Linked DNA regions of Anolis sagrei. Each later gene encodes a partner of the first gene's protein in a complex. Links are inferred from orthologs where the notes say so. Each region holds a gene or a part of one and is shown on either strand. Other genes may lie near its edges.

The links.
Region 2: the proteins of CD40 (region 1) and CD40LG are in contact, whole or in part, in a crystal structure (PDB 3QD6), measured with the Homo sapiens proteins. The link is inferred for Anolis sagrei from reciprocal best matches to the Homo sapiens genes CD40 and CD40LG. Residues at the interface, in NP_001241.1 of Homo sapiens: Glu64, Ser65, Glu66, His76, Cys77, Gln79, Tyr82, Asp84, Asn86, Leu87, Trp109, Cys119; in NP_000065.1 of Homo sapiens: Ile127, Glu129, Ala130, Lys143, Gly144, Tyr145, Tyr146, Cys178, Pro217, Cys218, Gln220, Ser245, Gln246, Ser248, His249, Gly250, Thr251, Gly252.

The regions. Positions count from the first base shown.
Region 1 is NC_090024.1:248,019,857-248,028,085, reverse strand, and holds the start of CD40 (tumor necrosis factor receptor superfamily member 5), read left to right. Parts: upstream 1-5,026; 5' UTR 5,027-5,086; coding exon 5,087-5,185; intron 5,186-8,229.
Region 2 is NC_090030.1:25,054,907-25,062,342, reverse strand, and holds the start of CD40LG (CD40 ligand), read right to left. Parts: upstream 3,263-7,436; coding exon 2,966-3,262; intron 1-2,965. UniProt on the Homo sapiens protein: Cytokine that acts as a ligand to CD40/TNFRSF5. Costimulates T-cell proliferation and cytokine production.

The DNA.
Region 1 (8,229 bases):
AGAGAAGGCCGAAGTTTGCCCGTGCCTGAACTAGAGTAGAATCACACAACCCCAAGGTGGCAACCGAGCCTTTGGTATGAGTCGCCCATAAACTGAGAAAGGTGGTATACAAATGTAGTAAATAAATAGATAAATAAATAAATATTTTCCTAGCAGAATTCAACTGGGAGATATTGACAAGCTGGAATGTGTCCAGAGGAGGGCGACTAAAATGATCAAGGGTCTGGAGAACAAGCCCTATGAGGAGCGGCTTAAGGAGCTGGGCATGTTTAGACTGAAGAAGAGAAGGCTGAGAGGAGATATGATAGCCATGGATCAATATGTGAGAAGAAGCCACAGGGAGGAGGGAGCAGATCAAGGGTCTGGAGAACAAGCCCTATGAGGAGCGGCTTAAGGAGCTGGGCATGTTTAACCTGAAGAAGAGAAGGCTGAGAGGAGATATGATTAGAGCCATGTATAAATATGTGAGAGGAAGCCACAGGGAGAAGAAGGGAGCAGGCTTGTTTTCTGCTTCCTAGGAGACTAGGACGCGGAACAATGGCTTCAAACTACAAGAGAGGAGATTCCATCTGAACATTAGGAAGAACTTCCTGACTGTGAGAGCCGTTCAGCAGTGGAACTCTCTGCCCCAGAGGGAGTGTGGTGGAGGCTCCTTTTTTGAAAGCTTTTAAGCAGAGGCTGGATGGCCATCTATCAGGAGTGATTTGAATGCAATATTCCTGCTTCTTGGCAGAATGGGGTTGGACTGGATGGCCCATGAGGTCTCTTCCAACTCTTTGATTCTAGGATTCTATGATTCTATGGGGAGCGGAAGCCAATGATGGGGCAGGGGATAGAATCCTAGAATCCTAGAATCAAAGAGTTGGAAGAGACCTCCTGGGCCATCCAGTCCAACCCCATTCTGCCAAGGAGTAGGAACATTGCATTCAGAACACCCCCAACAGATGGCCATCCAGCCTCTGCTTCAAAGCTTCCAAAGAAGGAGCCTCCACCCACTCCGGGGAAGGCAGAGAGTTCCACTGCTGAACGGCTCTCACAGTCTGGAAGCTCTTCCTCATGTTCAGATGGAATCTCCTCTGTTGGAGTTTGAAGCCATTGCTCCAATGCGTCCTAGTCTCCAAGGAAGCAGAAAACAAGCTTGCTCCCTCATACCATGGGGTTGGTGCAGCCAGATCTTTGGGGGGTTGGAGTTGCTTGTCCTTTCTACGCCATTCATTCCCACCCCCTCCTCGGCAGGTCTTGAGAAGCGGTTTCTACGAAACTGCAAGTGACTGCAGGGTCAGTTCCTCTTTCTTATCTAAAAATGAGTTCAAACACATTTTGGGGGGGGGGGGGGGGAGTGAGGATGACATTATATGAACGTTGCGACTGGGCTGTGTGTGTGATTTCCAACATCGGGATAATATGAAGAGGAGAGGGTCAGGATACTAGAGTGACCCTCTGGGGTCTGACCCTTGAAGACTGGATGGCTCTCTATTGCAGCGTTTCTCAACCTGGGGGTCGAGACCCCTGGCGGGGTCGCGAGGGGTTGTCAGAGGGGTCGCCAAAGACCATCAGGAAACACAGTATTTTCTGTTGGTCATGGGAGCTCTGTGTGGAAATATTGGCCCAATTCTATCGCTGGTGGGTCTCAGAATGCTCTGATTTTAGGTGAACTCAAAAATCCCAGCAACTACAACTCCCAAATGTCAAGGTCTATTTCCCCCAAAATCCACCAGTGTTCACATTTGGGCATATTGAGTATTTGTGCCAAGTTTGGTCCAGATTGATCATTGTTTGAGTCCACAGTGCTCTCTGGATGTAGGTGAACTACAACTCCCAAACTCAAGGTCAATGCCCACCAAACCCTTCCAGTATTTTTTGTTGGCCATGAGAGTTCTGTGTGCCAAGTTTGGTTCAATTTCACTGTTGGTGGAGTTCGGAATGCTCTTTGATTGTAGGTGAACTATAAATCCCAGCAACTACGACTCCCAAATGACAAAATCAATCCGCCTGCCCAATCCCACCAGTATTCAAATTTGGACATATTGGGTTTTTGTGCAAAATTTGGGTCCAATGAATGAAAGTACATCATGCATATGAGATATTTATGTGATGATTCATAACAGTAGCAAAATTCCAGTTATGAAGTAGCAACAAAAATAATGTTATGGTTGTGGGTCACCACAACATGAGGAACTGTATTAAGGGGTCGCGGCATTAAGAAGGTTGAGGACCACTGCTCTATTGGGAGGGCTTGGATGGTGCTTTTCCTGGCAGGTTGGGGCTGGGCTGGATGGCCTTTGGGGTTTTTTCCTCCAAGTCTAGGGTGCTAGGACCATGGACAGGGATTGACCCAGAAGAGGCAGGGAAGGAGCGTCTCTCTCTACTTTCTGCGGAAGGGAAACTGGACGGGAAGGCAAGAAAAGTCAGCAGGAAACCCCAGGGAGACAAGGCTGCATAAGCAAGGAAGGAAGCAAGGAAGGAAGACCCCTCCTTGGGTTTTCCGGAGGACTTTTCCTGCCGTGGAGTTCCCTGTGGGTCTTTACAAAACATTGCAACAGACATGCATGAGCCATGAGCCAACAATGTGATGTGGCGGCAAAAAAAGCCAATGGGATTTGGGCCTGCATCAATTGGAGCATAGAGTCTAGATCTAAGGAAGTCATGCTGCCCATGCTCTATTCCGCCTTGGTTAGACCACTTTACCTGGAATATTGTGTCCAATTCTGGGCACCACAATTCAAGAGAGAGATTGACAAGCTGGAATGTGTCCAGAGGAAGAGGGCGACTACCATGATCAAGAGTCTGGAGAACAAGCCCTATGAGGAGCGGCTTAGGGAACTGGGCATGTTTAGCCTGAAGAAGAGAAGGCTGAGAGGAGACATGATGAGGGCCATGGATCAAGATGTGAGAGTTGACAAGCTGGAATGTGTCCAGAGGAGGGTGATTAAAATGATCAAGGGTCTGTAGAACAAGCCCTATGAGGAGCGGCTTAAGGAGCTGGGCATGTTTAGCCTGAAGAAGAGAAGGCTGAGAGGAGATATGATAGCCATGTATAAATATGTGAGAGTTGACAATCTGGAATGAGTCCAGAGGAGGGTGATTAAAATGATCAAGGGTCTGTAGAACAAGCCCTATGAGGAGCGGCTTAAGGAGCTGGGCTTAAGGAGAAGAGAAGGCTGAGAGGAGATATGATAGCCATGTATAAATATGTGAGAGTTGACAAGCTGGAATGCGGAAGGGAAACTGAACTGAATGTTTCCACCTGAACATGAGGAAGAACTTCCTGACTGTGAGAGCCGTTCAGCAGTGGAACTCTCTGCCCCGGAGGGAGTGTGGTGGAGGCTCCTTCTTTGGAAGCTTTTAAGCAGAGGCTGGATGGCCATCTGTCAGGGGTGATTTGAATGCAATATTCCTGCTTCTTGGCAGAATGGGGTTGGACTGGATGGTGGCCCAGGAGGTCTCTTCCAACTCTTTGATTCTAGGATTCTATGCGCATAAGTATTTGTTGCAAACAGTGTGCTGTTTTCCAGCTATTTGTGTTCCATGATCATTTCTCCGATAATATCTTTTCTTTAAGGAGTCACAGTCTTCTATTTGAATCGTACATACTCATAAAGGCATCCTAGGCTCTAAAGCAGTGGCTCTCACCCTTCCTAATGCCGCGACCCCTTAATACAGTTCCTCATGTTGTGTTGACCCACAACCAGAAGATTGTTTTCGTTGCAACTTCATCACTGTCATTTTGCCACTCTTAAGAATCGTCATGTCAATATCTGACATGCAAGAGGTATTATCATGCACTGGACCAAATTTGGCACAAATATCTTATACGCCTACATTTGAATGCTGGTGGCGTTGGGGGATAGTTGATTTTGTCACTTGGGAGTTGTAGTTGCTGGGATTTATAGTTCACCTGTAAACAAAGAGCATTCTGAACTCCACCAACGATGGAATTGGACCAAACTTGGCACACAAAACTCCTGACACCAACAGAAAGTACTAGAAGGGTTTGGTGGGCATTGGCCTTGAGTTTGGGAGTTGTAGTTCACCTATATCCAGAGAGCACTGTGGACTCAAACAATGCTGGATCTGGACCAAACTTGGCACAGAGTTTGCTTGGAGTTGTAGTTCACCTACATCCAGAGAGCACTGACAGATCTGGACCAAATTTGGCATGGATAATCAATATGCCCAAATGTGAACACTGGTGGAGTTTGGGGGAAATAGACCTTGACATTTAGGAGTTGTAGTTGCTGGGATTTATAGTTCACCTGCAATCAAAGAGCATTCTGAATTCCACTAACAATGGAATTGGACCAAACTTGGCACACAAATCTCCTGAGACCAACAGAAAGTACTGGAAGAGTTTGGTGGGCATTGACCTTGAGTTTGGGAGTTGCAGTTCACCTACATCCAGAGAGCTCTGTGGACTCAAACAATGATAGATCTGGACCAAACTTGGCATGGATAATCAATATACCCTAATGTGAACACTGGTGGAGTTTGGTGAAAATAAACCTTGACATTTGGGAGTTGTCATTGCTGGGATGTATAGTTCACATACAATCAAAAAGCATTCTGAACTCTACTGTCAAAGGCTTTCATAGCCGGAATTATTGGGTTGTGGTAGGTTTTTTCGGGCTGTCTGGCCATGTTCTAGAAGCATTCTCTCCTGGTGTTTCGCCTGCATCTGTGGCAGGCATCCTAGGAGGTTTTGAGACCTCCCAACCTCTGAGGATGCTTGCCCTAGATGCAGGCGAAACGTCAGGAGAGAATGCTTCTAGAACATGGCCAGACAGCCCGTAAATTTCTACAAAAACCCAATTATGGGGATCTTCCTGGTCCTGTTTGGCCGGGAATGCTCTGGAAGGGAAACCCCGGAGGCGATGGGGAGGGCCAGTGGGGGGGGGGGCGCTCTGCCCATGCTCAGAGGCAGGGGGGGATTCCCCGGCGGGGCGGCATTGGGCGGAGGGGAGGGGGCGGGGCGGGGCAGGGGGCGTGGCGCCTCTTCTGTCTCCTCCTCCTCCTCCTCTTTCTTCTTCCCGGGGGGCTCTTAAGGGCAGCGCTCCGGCCCTCCTCTTGCAGAAGGAAGAGGGTGGGCATGGGGTCTGGCTGGAGGTCAGCGGGGCTCCGGCCAGGGCGCTTCTTCTCCTCGTGGGCGCTGACCTGGGCCCTCCTCGCCACCCACCTCGGACGCGCCGTGAGTTTCGCTTTCGCTTCGGACACCAAGAAAAGGGGGGGGGGGCACAGGTCGGGGCTTTCCTTTCTTTCTTTCTTTCTTTCTTTCTTTCTTTCTTTCTTTCTCGCTTTTATTTCCCTCCCTCCCTTCTTTCCCTTCTTTTCTCTACTCCTCCCTTTCTGAGTCCCGGGGAGGAGGAGAGGGTCCCTCTCTGCCCGAAATGGGGGCTTCTGGGGGGAAAGGGGGTGGAACTGCGCTTTCTTTCCTTCCCTTCCTTCTTAGAATCATAGAATCCTAGAATCAAAGAGTTGGGAGAGACCTCCTGGGCCATCCAGTCCAGCCCCATTCTGCCAAGAAGCAGGAATGTTGCATTCAAATCACCCCTGACAGATGGCCATCCAGCCTCTGCTTCAAAGCTTCCAAAGAAGGAGCCTCCACCACACTCCGGAGCAGAGAGTTCCACTGCTGAACGGCGCTCACAGTCAGGAAGTTCTTCCAAATGTTCAGGTGGAATCTCCTCTCTTGGAGTTTGAAGCCATTCTTCCATTGCGTCCTAGTCTCCAGGGAAGCAGGAAACAAGCCTGCTCCCTCCTCCTCCCTGTGGCTTCCTCTCACATATTTATACATGGCCCTCATCATATCCCCTCTCAGCCTTCTCTTCTTCAGGCTAAACATGCCCAGCTCCTTAAGCCGCTCCTCATAGGGCTTGTTCTCCAGACCCTTGATCATTTTAGCCGCCCTCCTCTGGACACATTCCAGCTTAGAGTCAATATCTCTCTTGAATTGTGGTGCCCAGAATTGGACACAATATTCCAGATGTGGTCTAACCAAAGCAGAATAGAGCATGGGGAGCATAGAATCATAGAATCATAGAATCAAAGAGTTGGAAGAGACCTCATGGGCCATCCAGTCCAACCCCATTCTGCCAAGAAGCAGGAATATTGCATTCAAATCACCCCTGACAAATGGCCATCCAGCCTCTGTTTAAAAGCTTCCAAAGAAGGAGCCTCCACCACATTCCGGGGCAGAGAGTTCCACTGCTGAACGGCTCTCACAGTCAGGAAGTTCTTCCCTGGATCTAGACACTAGGCTCCTCTTGATGCAGGCCAAAATCCCACTGGCTTTCTTTCTTCCTTTCCTTCCTTTCCTTGATCTTCTTTCTTTCTTTCTTTCCTTCCGTCCTTCCTTTCCTTTCCTTTCCATTCTTTCCTTTTTCCCCTTCTCTCATTCCTTCCTTTCTTTTTTCCTTTCTTTCCTCTCTCCTTCCTCCCTTCTTTTCTTTCCTTCCTTCCTTTCTTTTTCCTTTCTTCCCTCTCTCCTTCTTCCCTTCCTTTCCTCTCTCCTTCCTCCCTTCTTTTCTTTCCTTCCTCCCTCCCTTCCTTTCTTTTCTCCTTTCTTTCCTCTCTCCTTCCTTCCTTGCTTCTCTCCTTCCTTTCCTTCCTCTTCTTTCCTTCCTTCCTTCCTTCCTTCCTTTCCTTTCCTTTCCTTTCCTTTCCTTTCCTTTCCTTTCCTTTCCTTTCCATTCTTTCCTTTTCCCCCTTCTCTCATTCCTTCCTTCCTTTTTCCTTTTTTCCCTCTCTCCTTCCTCCCTTCTTTTCTTTCCTCCCTCCCTCCCTTCCTTTTTCCTTTCTTTCTTCTCTCCTTCTTCCCATCCGTTCTTCTCTCCTTCCTTCCTTCCCTTTCTCCTTCCTCCCTTTCCTTTCTTACTTCTCTCTGTCCTTCCTTTCTTTTTTCCTTTCTTTCCTCTCTCTTTCCTCCCTTCTTTTCTTTCCTTCCTTCCTTCCTTTCTTTTTCCTTTCTTCCCTCTCTCCTTCTTCCCTTCCTTTCCTCTCTCCTTCCTCCCTTCTTTTCTTTCCTTCCTCCCTTCCTTCCTTTCTTTTCTCCTTTCTTTCCTCTCTCCTTCCTTCCTTGCTTCCCTCCTTCCTTTCCTTCCTCTTCTTTCCTTCCTTCCTTTCCTTTCCTTTCCTTTCCATTCTTTCCTTTTCCCCCTTCTCTCATTCCTTCCTTCCTTTTTCCTTTCTCCCCTCTCTCCTTCCTCCCTTCTTTTCTTTCTTCCCTCCCTCCATTCCTTTTTCCTTTCTTTCTTCTCTCCTTCTTCCCATCCGTTCTTCTCTCCTCCCTTCCTTCCCTTTCTCCTTCCTCCCTTCCCTTTCTTACTTCTCTCCGTCCGTCCTTTCTTTTTTCCTTTCTTTCCTCTCTCCTTCCTTCCTTCCTCTACTCCCACCTGTCTTTTTTCCCATCCTCCCCTTCCATTCCTTTCTTCTTTCATTTCATCCCTTCCCTTTTCCTTTCCTCCTTTCCTTTCCAGGTCGTTTGGTGGGGGGGGGGGCTTCCTCGCGTCCCCACCCTCGGCCCCTCCCCCACCCAGGGACCCCTCCCTTGGGGATCCCCCACCCCCCATTGACTATGAACTAGTTCAGAAGTATGGTGTGTTCTCCAAGATCCTTTCACCACCGTCCCAAACATAGTTGGTGGGGAGGAGAGGGGGGTGGCTTCTCAGTGGTGGCCCCTGGGTTTGGAATGCCTTCCCCAGGGAGATTTATTCATTTTATGTACTGTATGTGTATACTGCCCTTCTCAGCCCTCAGGAGATGAGGCTGGCACCCACTCTGTCCGCCTTTCGCAGAGACCTCAAAACTCAAATGTTCCAGTGTTCCTTTGATCATGATTAGATTCCCAGGTGGCACAGCGAGTTAAACCGCTGAGCTGCTGAACTTGCTAATTGGAAGGTTGCCAGTTTGATTCCAGGGAGTGGGGTGAGCACCCACTATTAGCCCCAGCTTCTGTCAACTTAGCAGTTTGAAAACATGCAAATGTGAGTTGATCAATAGGGACCAGGAAATCAGAAGATGTTTCCTTCTTGGGAGGAGAGCGTTGGCCAACCTCAATGAAAGAGTGAAGAGTAGAGACATCACACTGGCAACGAAGGTCCATGGTATTCCCTGTAGTCACCTACGGAGGTGAGAGCTGGAACATAGGGAAGGCTGAGTGAAGGAAGAGAGATGCTTCTGAACTGTGGTGCTGGAGAAAAGTTCTGAGAGTGCCTTGGACCACCAGAAGATCCA
Region 2 (7,436 bases), on another chromosome or scaffold:
GCATCCAGGGATTCAACCATCCATGACTTGAAAATATCCCAAAATGCTAACCTTGACTGTGCCCTTTTATACAAGGGACACAATGTTGCTATATCATGGAACTTAACCATCTATAGATATAGATACGTTATGGAAACAAATCCAGCGGAGAACAAGGGCTCACTTTATCTTCCCCAAGAAGCAAAGGGCATTAGAATCAGAGCATCAAAGAGTGGGAAGAGACCTCATGGGCCATCCAGTCCAACCCCATTCTGCCAAGAAGCAGGAATATTGCATTCAAATCACCCCTGACAGATGGCCATCCAGCCTCTGTTTAAAAGCTTCCAAAGAAGGAGCCTCCACCACACTCCGGGGCAGAGAGTTCCACTGCTGAACGGCTCTCACAGTCAGGAAGTTCTTCCTCATGTTCAGATGGAATCTCCTCTCTTGTAGTTTGAAGCCATTGTTCCGCGTCCTAGTCTCCAAGGAAGCAGAAAACAAGCTTGCTCCCTCCTCCCTGTGGCTTCCTCTCACATATTTATACATGGCTATCATATCTCCTCTCAGCCTTCTCTTTTTCAGGCTAAAAATGCCCAGTTCCTTAAGCTGGTCCTCATAGGGCTTGTTCTCCAGACCCTTGATCATTTTAGTCGCCCTCCTTGATCATTTTAGTCGCATTGTCTCAAACTGAGTCAGACCCTTGGCCCATCTATCTCTGAAGCTTCAGCTCCACCAACCTCTAGGAAAGAATAGTTCCCAAAACTCTGGAAAGTTCCCTGATGGTCTGCCATCCATTGGTTAACATCCAAAATTGGGCAAAGTTGGCGTGTTTAGGATGACATCGCGTCATGGAAGATGCTGTTCCATTAGCAATTTCAGCTTCCGTATCTAGAACGGCCTTGGCTGAGGCAGCCAAACCCAGTGAGTTGGCACTCAAACATGAGCTAGGGAATAGCTAGGGGAAAGACCCAGAGCTTTCAATATTTCACAGATGGAAAAACAGACAAAGCAAGATCAGAAAGTGGCCAAGTTAGGGAAGGTTATTAAGAAAGAAGAACACAAGATCAAGAGAATCTAAGTGGTGAGTAGAACCTCCAAAGGTCTCCATCCAACTTCAGATGGTAAGCCGAAGATGGCGTCCAACCCATGCAAATGTGGTTCCTTTTGGATCCTCTCCTGACCAAGCAACCAATGACACCCAAATGTTTGAAGAGTTTAGGTTCTCTAAAGATCTTTATCTGAGCTTGGATGGTTAACTAAAAATGATCAGAATTTAGTTCCTTTTGGATCCTGTCCTGATAGAACAACCAACGCAATCGAAACATTTTAAGCTCTGGCCGCTCTAAATGAGTTCAAGTCCCCAGGGCCAGATCAACTACACCCAAGAGTATTGAAGGAACTAGCGGAAGTCATTTCGGAACCATCTTTGAGAGTTCTTGGAGAACAGGAGAAGTTCCAGCAGATTGGAGGAGGGCCAATGTGGTCCCAATCTTCAAGAAGGGAAAAAAGGATGACCCAAACAATTACTGTCCGGTCAGCCTCACATCGACACCAGGCAAGATTCTGGGAAATATTGTTAAGGAAGTGGTCTGCAAACACTTAGAAACAAATGCGGTCATCGCTAATAATCAACATGGATTTATCAAAAACAAGTCATGCCAGACTAATCTGATCTCTTTTTTCAATAGAGTTACAAGATGGGTAGATGCGGGGAATGCCGTGGATGGAGCGTACCTGGATTTCAGTAAGGCTTTCGACAAGGTCCCCCATGACCTTCTGGCAAGGAAACTAGTCCAATGTGGGCAAGGCAAAACTATGGTGAGGTGGATCTGTAATTGGTTAAGTGGACGAACCCAGAGGATGATTCTCCCCAAGGCTTCCTCTTCGTCCTGGAAAGAAGTGACGAGCGGAGTGCCATCAGCAGGGTTCCGTCCTGGTCCCGGTCCTCTTCAACATCTTTATTAATGACTTAGATGAAGGGTTAGAAGGCAGGATCATCAAGTTTGCAGACGACACCAAATTGGGAGGGAGAGCCAATACTCCAGAGGACAGGAGCAGGATTCAAAATGATCTTGACAGATTAGAGAGATGATTGGCCAAAACTAACAAAATGAAGTTCAACAGTCACAAATGCAAGATACTCCACTTTGGCAGGAAAAACGAAATGCAAAGAAACAGAATGGGGGACAATGCCTGGCTTGAGAGCAGTACTTGTGAAAAAGATCTTGGCGTCTTCGTGGACAACAAGTTAAACATGAGCCAACAATGTGATGTGGCGGCAAAGAAAAAAGCAATGGGATTTTGGCCTGCATCAATAGGAGCCTAGTGTCTAGATCTAGGGAAGTAATGCTACCCCTCTATTCCGCTTTGGTTAGACCACATCTGGAATATTGTGTCAAATTCTGGGCACCACAGTTCAAGAGAGATATTGACAAGCTGGAATGTGTCCAGAGGAGGGCGACTAAAATGATCAAGGGTCTGGAGAACAAGCCCTATGAGGAGCGGCTTAAGGAGCTGGGCATGTTTAGCCTGAAGAAGGCTGAGAGGAGACATGATAGCCATGTATAAATATGTGAGAGGAAGTCACAGGGAGGAGGGAGCAAGCTTGTTTTCTGCTTCCCTGGAGACTAGGACGCAATGGAACAATGACTTCAAACTACAAGAAAGGAGATTCCATCTGAACATGAGGAAGAACTTCCTGACTGTGAGAGCTGTTCAGCAGTGGAACTCTCTGCCCCGAAGTGTGGTGGAAGCTTTTAAACAGAGGCTGGATGGCCATCTGTCAGGGGTGCTTTGAATGCAATATTCCTGCTTCTTGGCAGGATGGACCATGAGGTCTCTTCCAACTCTTTGAATCTATGATTCTAGGACCTCTAAAGATCTCCTTTTGTCCTTGGATGGTAAGCCAAAGATGGCGCCCACCCATGAAAATGTGGTTACTCTCGGAGCCTGTCCTGGCAACTCCATCTGCTGAGTTCAGCCTTACCTTGTCCAACTTCATGTGCAGATACAAGCCAAACATGGCGGTCCCGACCAGCTGCGCGATCACAAATGCGGTGATGAGGCCCAGGAAGGCCTTCATGGTGACGGTTGAGCCGGAGGACCTGGGGCTAGGAGGGGAGTACGCGTCTCCAGCTTCCATACGTCTGGTGCCTTCCAAAGCCTTGGCTGTGTGAGGAACATCAAGGCTGCCTTGGTTCTTAGGCACTGCGCAAGGCAATGAGAAAGGTAGCACATCATTGTGCCTGCCCACAACTTCCTGGGGAACAATCGCATCTTCCATTGTGGGGAGATGTGTTCACAGTCTTCTCCCACAACAACAGCAAAAACAAATAGCTATTTCAACTCGGTATTTGAGGCTCACGTCAATTGCGACCCGAAAAAAAGTGTGTGTGCTGCTCTTTCATTAGTTCATCCTATCTTCTCTACTACCATTCTTTCCTCTACTTAGTCTCTTTTCCCATGATCTCCATCTGTGATCATAAGAAAAGAGAGTAAGATCAGATGGAGACCGCTGCTAAGAGAAGGTTGATGCAACCTGACCCATCTAAAACACAGACATGTGCTTTTCATCTCAAGAACAGACAAGCATCCCAAGCTCTGAGGATTACCTGGGAAGGAATCCCACTGGAGCATTGCAGTGCAATGGGAGTCACTCTGGACCGTGCTCTGACCTACAAGAAGCACTGCCTGAACATCAAGCAAAAAGTGGGCGCTAGAAACAATATCACATGAAAGCTGAATGGCACAACCTGGGGATCACAACCAGACACACTGAAGACATCTGCCCTTGCGCTATGCTACTCTGCTGCTAGGTATGCATGCCCAGTGTGGAACACATCTCACCACGCTAAAACAGTGGATGTGGCTCTTAATGAGACATGCTGCATTATCACAGGGTGTCTGCGCACAACACTACTGGAGAAATTACACTGCTTAGCCGATATTGCACCACCTGAAATCCGCCAGGAAGTAGCAGCCAATAGTGAAAGGACCAAGGCAGTGACATCTCCAGCTCATCCCCTGTTTGGGTATCAGCCAGCACGTCACAACTTAAATCTAAAAATAGTTTTCTAAGATCTACAGAGACACTTGCTGGAACACCCCAGCAAGCGAGAGTCCAAAAGTGGCAGGCTCAAACCCAGAATCTTAATCAATGACTGTGTCCCAAATTTGGTTTAGTGAATGAAAATACATCCTGAATATCAGATATTTACATTGCAATTCACAACAGTAGCAAACTTACAGTTATGAAGTAGCAATGAAAATAATGTTATGGTTGGGAGTCATCACAACATGAGGAACTATACTAAGGGGTCGCGGCATTAGAAAGGTTGAGAACCACTGATCTAGAGACACTCGCTGGAACACCTCAGCAAGTGAGAGTCCAAAAGTGGCAGGCTCAAACCCAGAATCTCAATCAATGGCTGATACCAAATGAGAGACTCCCCCCTGGGCACACAGAAAACTGGGCGACTTGGAAGGCGCTGAACAGACTGCGCTCTGGCACCACGAGATGCAGAGCCAACCTTCAGAAATGGGGCTACAAAGTGGAATCCACGACATGCGAGTGCGGAGAAGAGCAAACTATAGAGCACTTGCTACAATGCACCCTGAGCCCTGCCACATGCACATTGGAGGACCTCCTTGCGGCAACACCAGAGGCATTCCAGGTGGCCTGATACTGGTCAAAGGACATGTAATCAATTACCAAGCTTGCAAATTTTGTGTTTTGTCTGTTTGTTTGTTTTGTTCTGTTAGAAATGTAATACAATTGACTGGTTGCCCTGACACGACAAATAAATACCTGACTGTAAGAATGAAGTTGGCGGCAGAAGCACCCATAGACTTTAGCACACTAACCCACTATGTGTATAAAATTGGGAACATTCAATATCACACGCTGTTTCCTTAGCACAGCCCCCGGTGGCGCAGTGGATTAAAGCACTGAGCTGCTGAGCTTGTTGATCGAAAGGTTGCAGGTTCGATTCCGGGGAGGGGTGTGAGCTTCCGCTGTCAGCCCCAGCTTCTGCCAACCTAGCAGTTCGAAAACATGCAAATGTGAGTAGATCAATAGGTACTGCTCCGGCGGGAAGGTAACGGCGCTCCATGCAGTCATGCCGACCACATGACCTTGGAGGTGTCTACGGACAACGCCGACTCTTTGGCTTAGAAATGGAGATGAGCACCACACCCCAGAGTCAGACATGACTGGACTTAATGTCAGGGGACTACCTTTACCTTTTTTTCCCTTAGCATAGTGGTTCTCAACCTTCCTAATGCTGTGACTCCTTAATACAGTCCCCCATGTCATGGTGACCCCCAACTGTAAAATTATTTTCATTGCTATATACCGCCCTTCTCAGCCCAGAGGCGATGCAGAGCAGTAATTTTGCTAATATAAATATCTGATATGCAGGACGTATTTTCATTCATTGGACCAAACTTGGCACAAAACCCCGATATGCCCAAATTTGAATACTGGTGGGGTTGCGGGGATTGATTTTGTCATTTGGGAGTTGTAGTTGCTGGGATTTATAGTTAATGTACATTCAAAGAGCATTTGGAACTCCACCAATGATGGAATTGAACCAAACTTGGCACACAGAACTCCCATGACCAACAGTGAGCTAACAGCTGGGAGGAGGCTCAGTCCCCCCCCCCCGAGCGCCTGGGCCAATCACAGGGCTTCTGCAGTGCGCCAGAGCCAATCAGGAGGCTTCTGCCGCCTAGGTGCTCCAGCGAATCAGGAGGGAGGGAGGCGGGACAAGGGAATACAATGCATTCTTGAGTGGATTATGGTATCAGGAAATGTCGAGGGGCTTGGCGAGTCCTAAAATGGCCTACAAGCAAAGCTAGACTATTGTGTTGTGATTGACACATTGATTTTGACAATATCACTTAATCCGGGTTTTCCTCTTATGATAAGGCAGGGGTACAATGGGGGAGACTAGAGGTGAATGTCTTCAATGGGATGGGCTTGAATGGAAACAGGTCAGGAGGGAGGAACTTTCCAAAGGCTCTCCCTTATCCTATTGTAAAATTCTGCCAAGCAATCATCTCCCTGATGGCCAAATCCTCTGAAGTCAGGGAGATGTTTCTTTGTTATGGTCCATGCAAGGAATGTTCTTAGATAAGAGTTTCTACAATCGCTAAATGCTTTCTTTCCCAGGGCAAAGCGACTTCCTTACACATTTTTCTCAAAGAGATGGGAATGGGGCAAAAGGGTCAGGAAAAGGTCAGATACATGAGGGGAAATATAGAAATACAGAAATCATACTAAAAGTCATATCCATGCAAATCCTGCAAATCTCTTGGGAAGACAAGTGGACAAACAGCGTGCTGGAAGAAGCAAAGACCACCAGCATTGAAGCGATGGTCCTCCGCCATCAACTCTGCTGGGAAGACAGGTGGACAAACACCAGCATGTTGGAAGAAGCAAAGACCACCAGCATTGAAGCAATGGTCCGCTGGACCGGCCATGTTGTCCGGATGCCCGACCACCGTCTCCCGAAGCAATTGCTCTACTCCGAACTCAAGAACGGAAAATGGAATGTTGGTGGACAGGAAAAGAGATTGAAAGATGGGCACAAAGCCAACCTTAAAAACTCTGGCATAGACAATGAGAACTGGGAAGCCCTGGCCCTTGAGCGCTCCAGCTGGAGGTCAGCTGTGACCAGCAGTGCTGCAGAATTTGAAGAGGCACGAATGGAGGGCGAAAGGGAGAAGCGTGCCAAGAGGAAGGCGTGCCAAGCCAACCCCGACCGAGACCGCCTTCCACCTGGAAACCAATGCCCTCACTGCGAAAGAAGATTCAGAGCAAGAATAGGGCTCCACAGCCACATACGGACCCACAAGAATATTGGAAGACAATCATCCTCAGAAAACGAGGGATTGCCTAAGTAAGTAAGCAAAACTATAAGTTACTTTCTTTCATGTTCGACCTCAATTGGAGGTTTGTGTTTGGTCTTCTCATAAGACTGACCCTGTCATGGCTTTGAAGTCAACATTTGCTTCTTGAATTAGGAGACAATGACTGAGATCTAGCCTTCCCAAAATCTCCACCAAGCCTTGTGGCACAGCCTTTTTGTTCCCCATTGAATATTAACTCAGTCCTTTCCAACTGAAAACCTCCCTCACAGTAATATAGTGGTCTGGGCTGGAGAATGGAGGAGCCAGTAAGTAGAAGTTGCCCAGAGGTCTACAAAGGTGGCCTCGATCACTGAGTCTTTGGCTTGGAGAACGTTCTTCTTATCAACCGACAGCCTCAAGGGCGGGAAGCCAACGTGCCAGCTTTGAACTGGCTCCTGCTGAGTCAAGCTTGATGGCGTCCAAACGGTGCGCAGCCACAACTGAAGGTTTTTCTACGTAAAGGAGCTGAGGTTTGACACCTTGAAGCAGAGCAACCCATGAGGCACGGCACGGCCTCGTGACGCCACCTGATGAAAGAGCTTCTG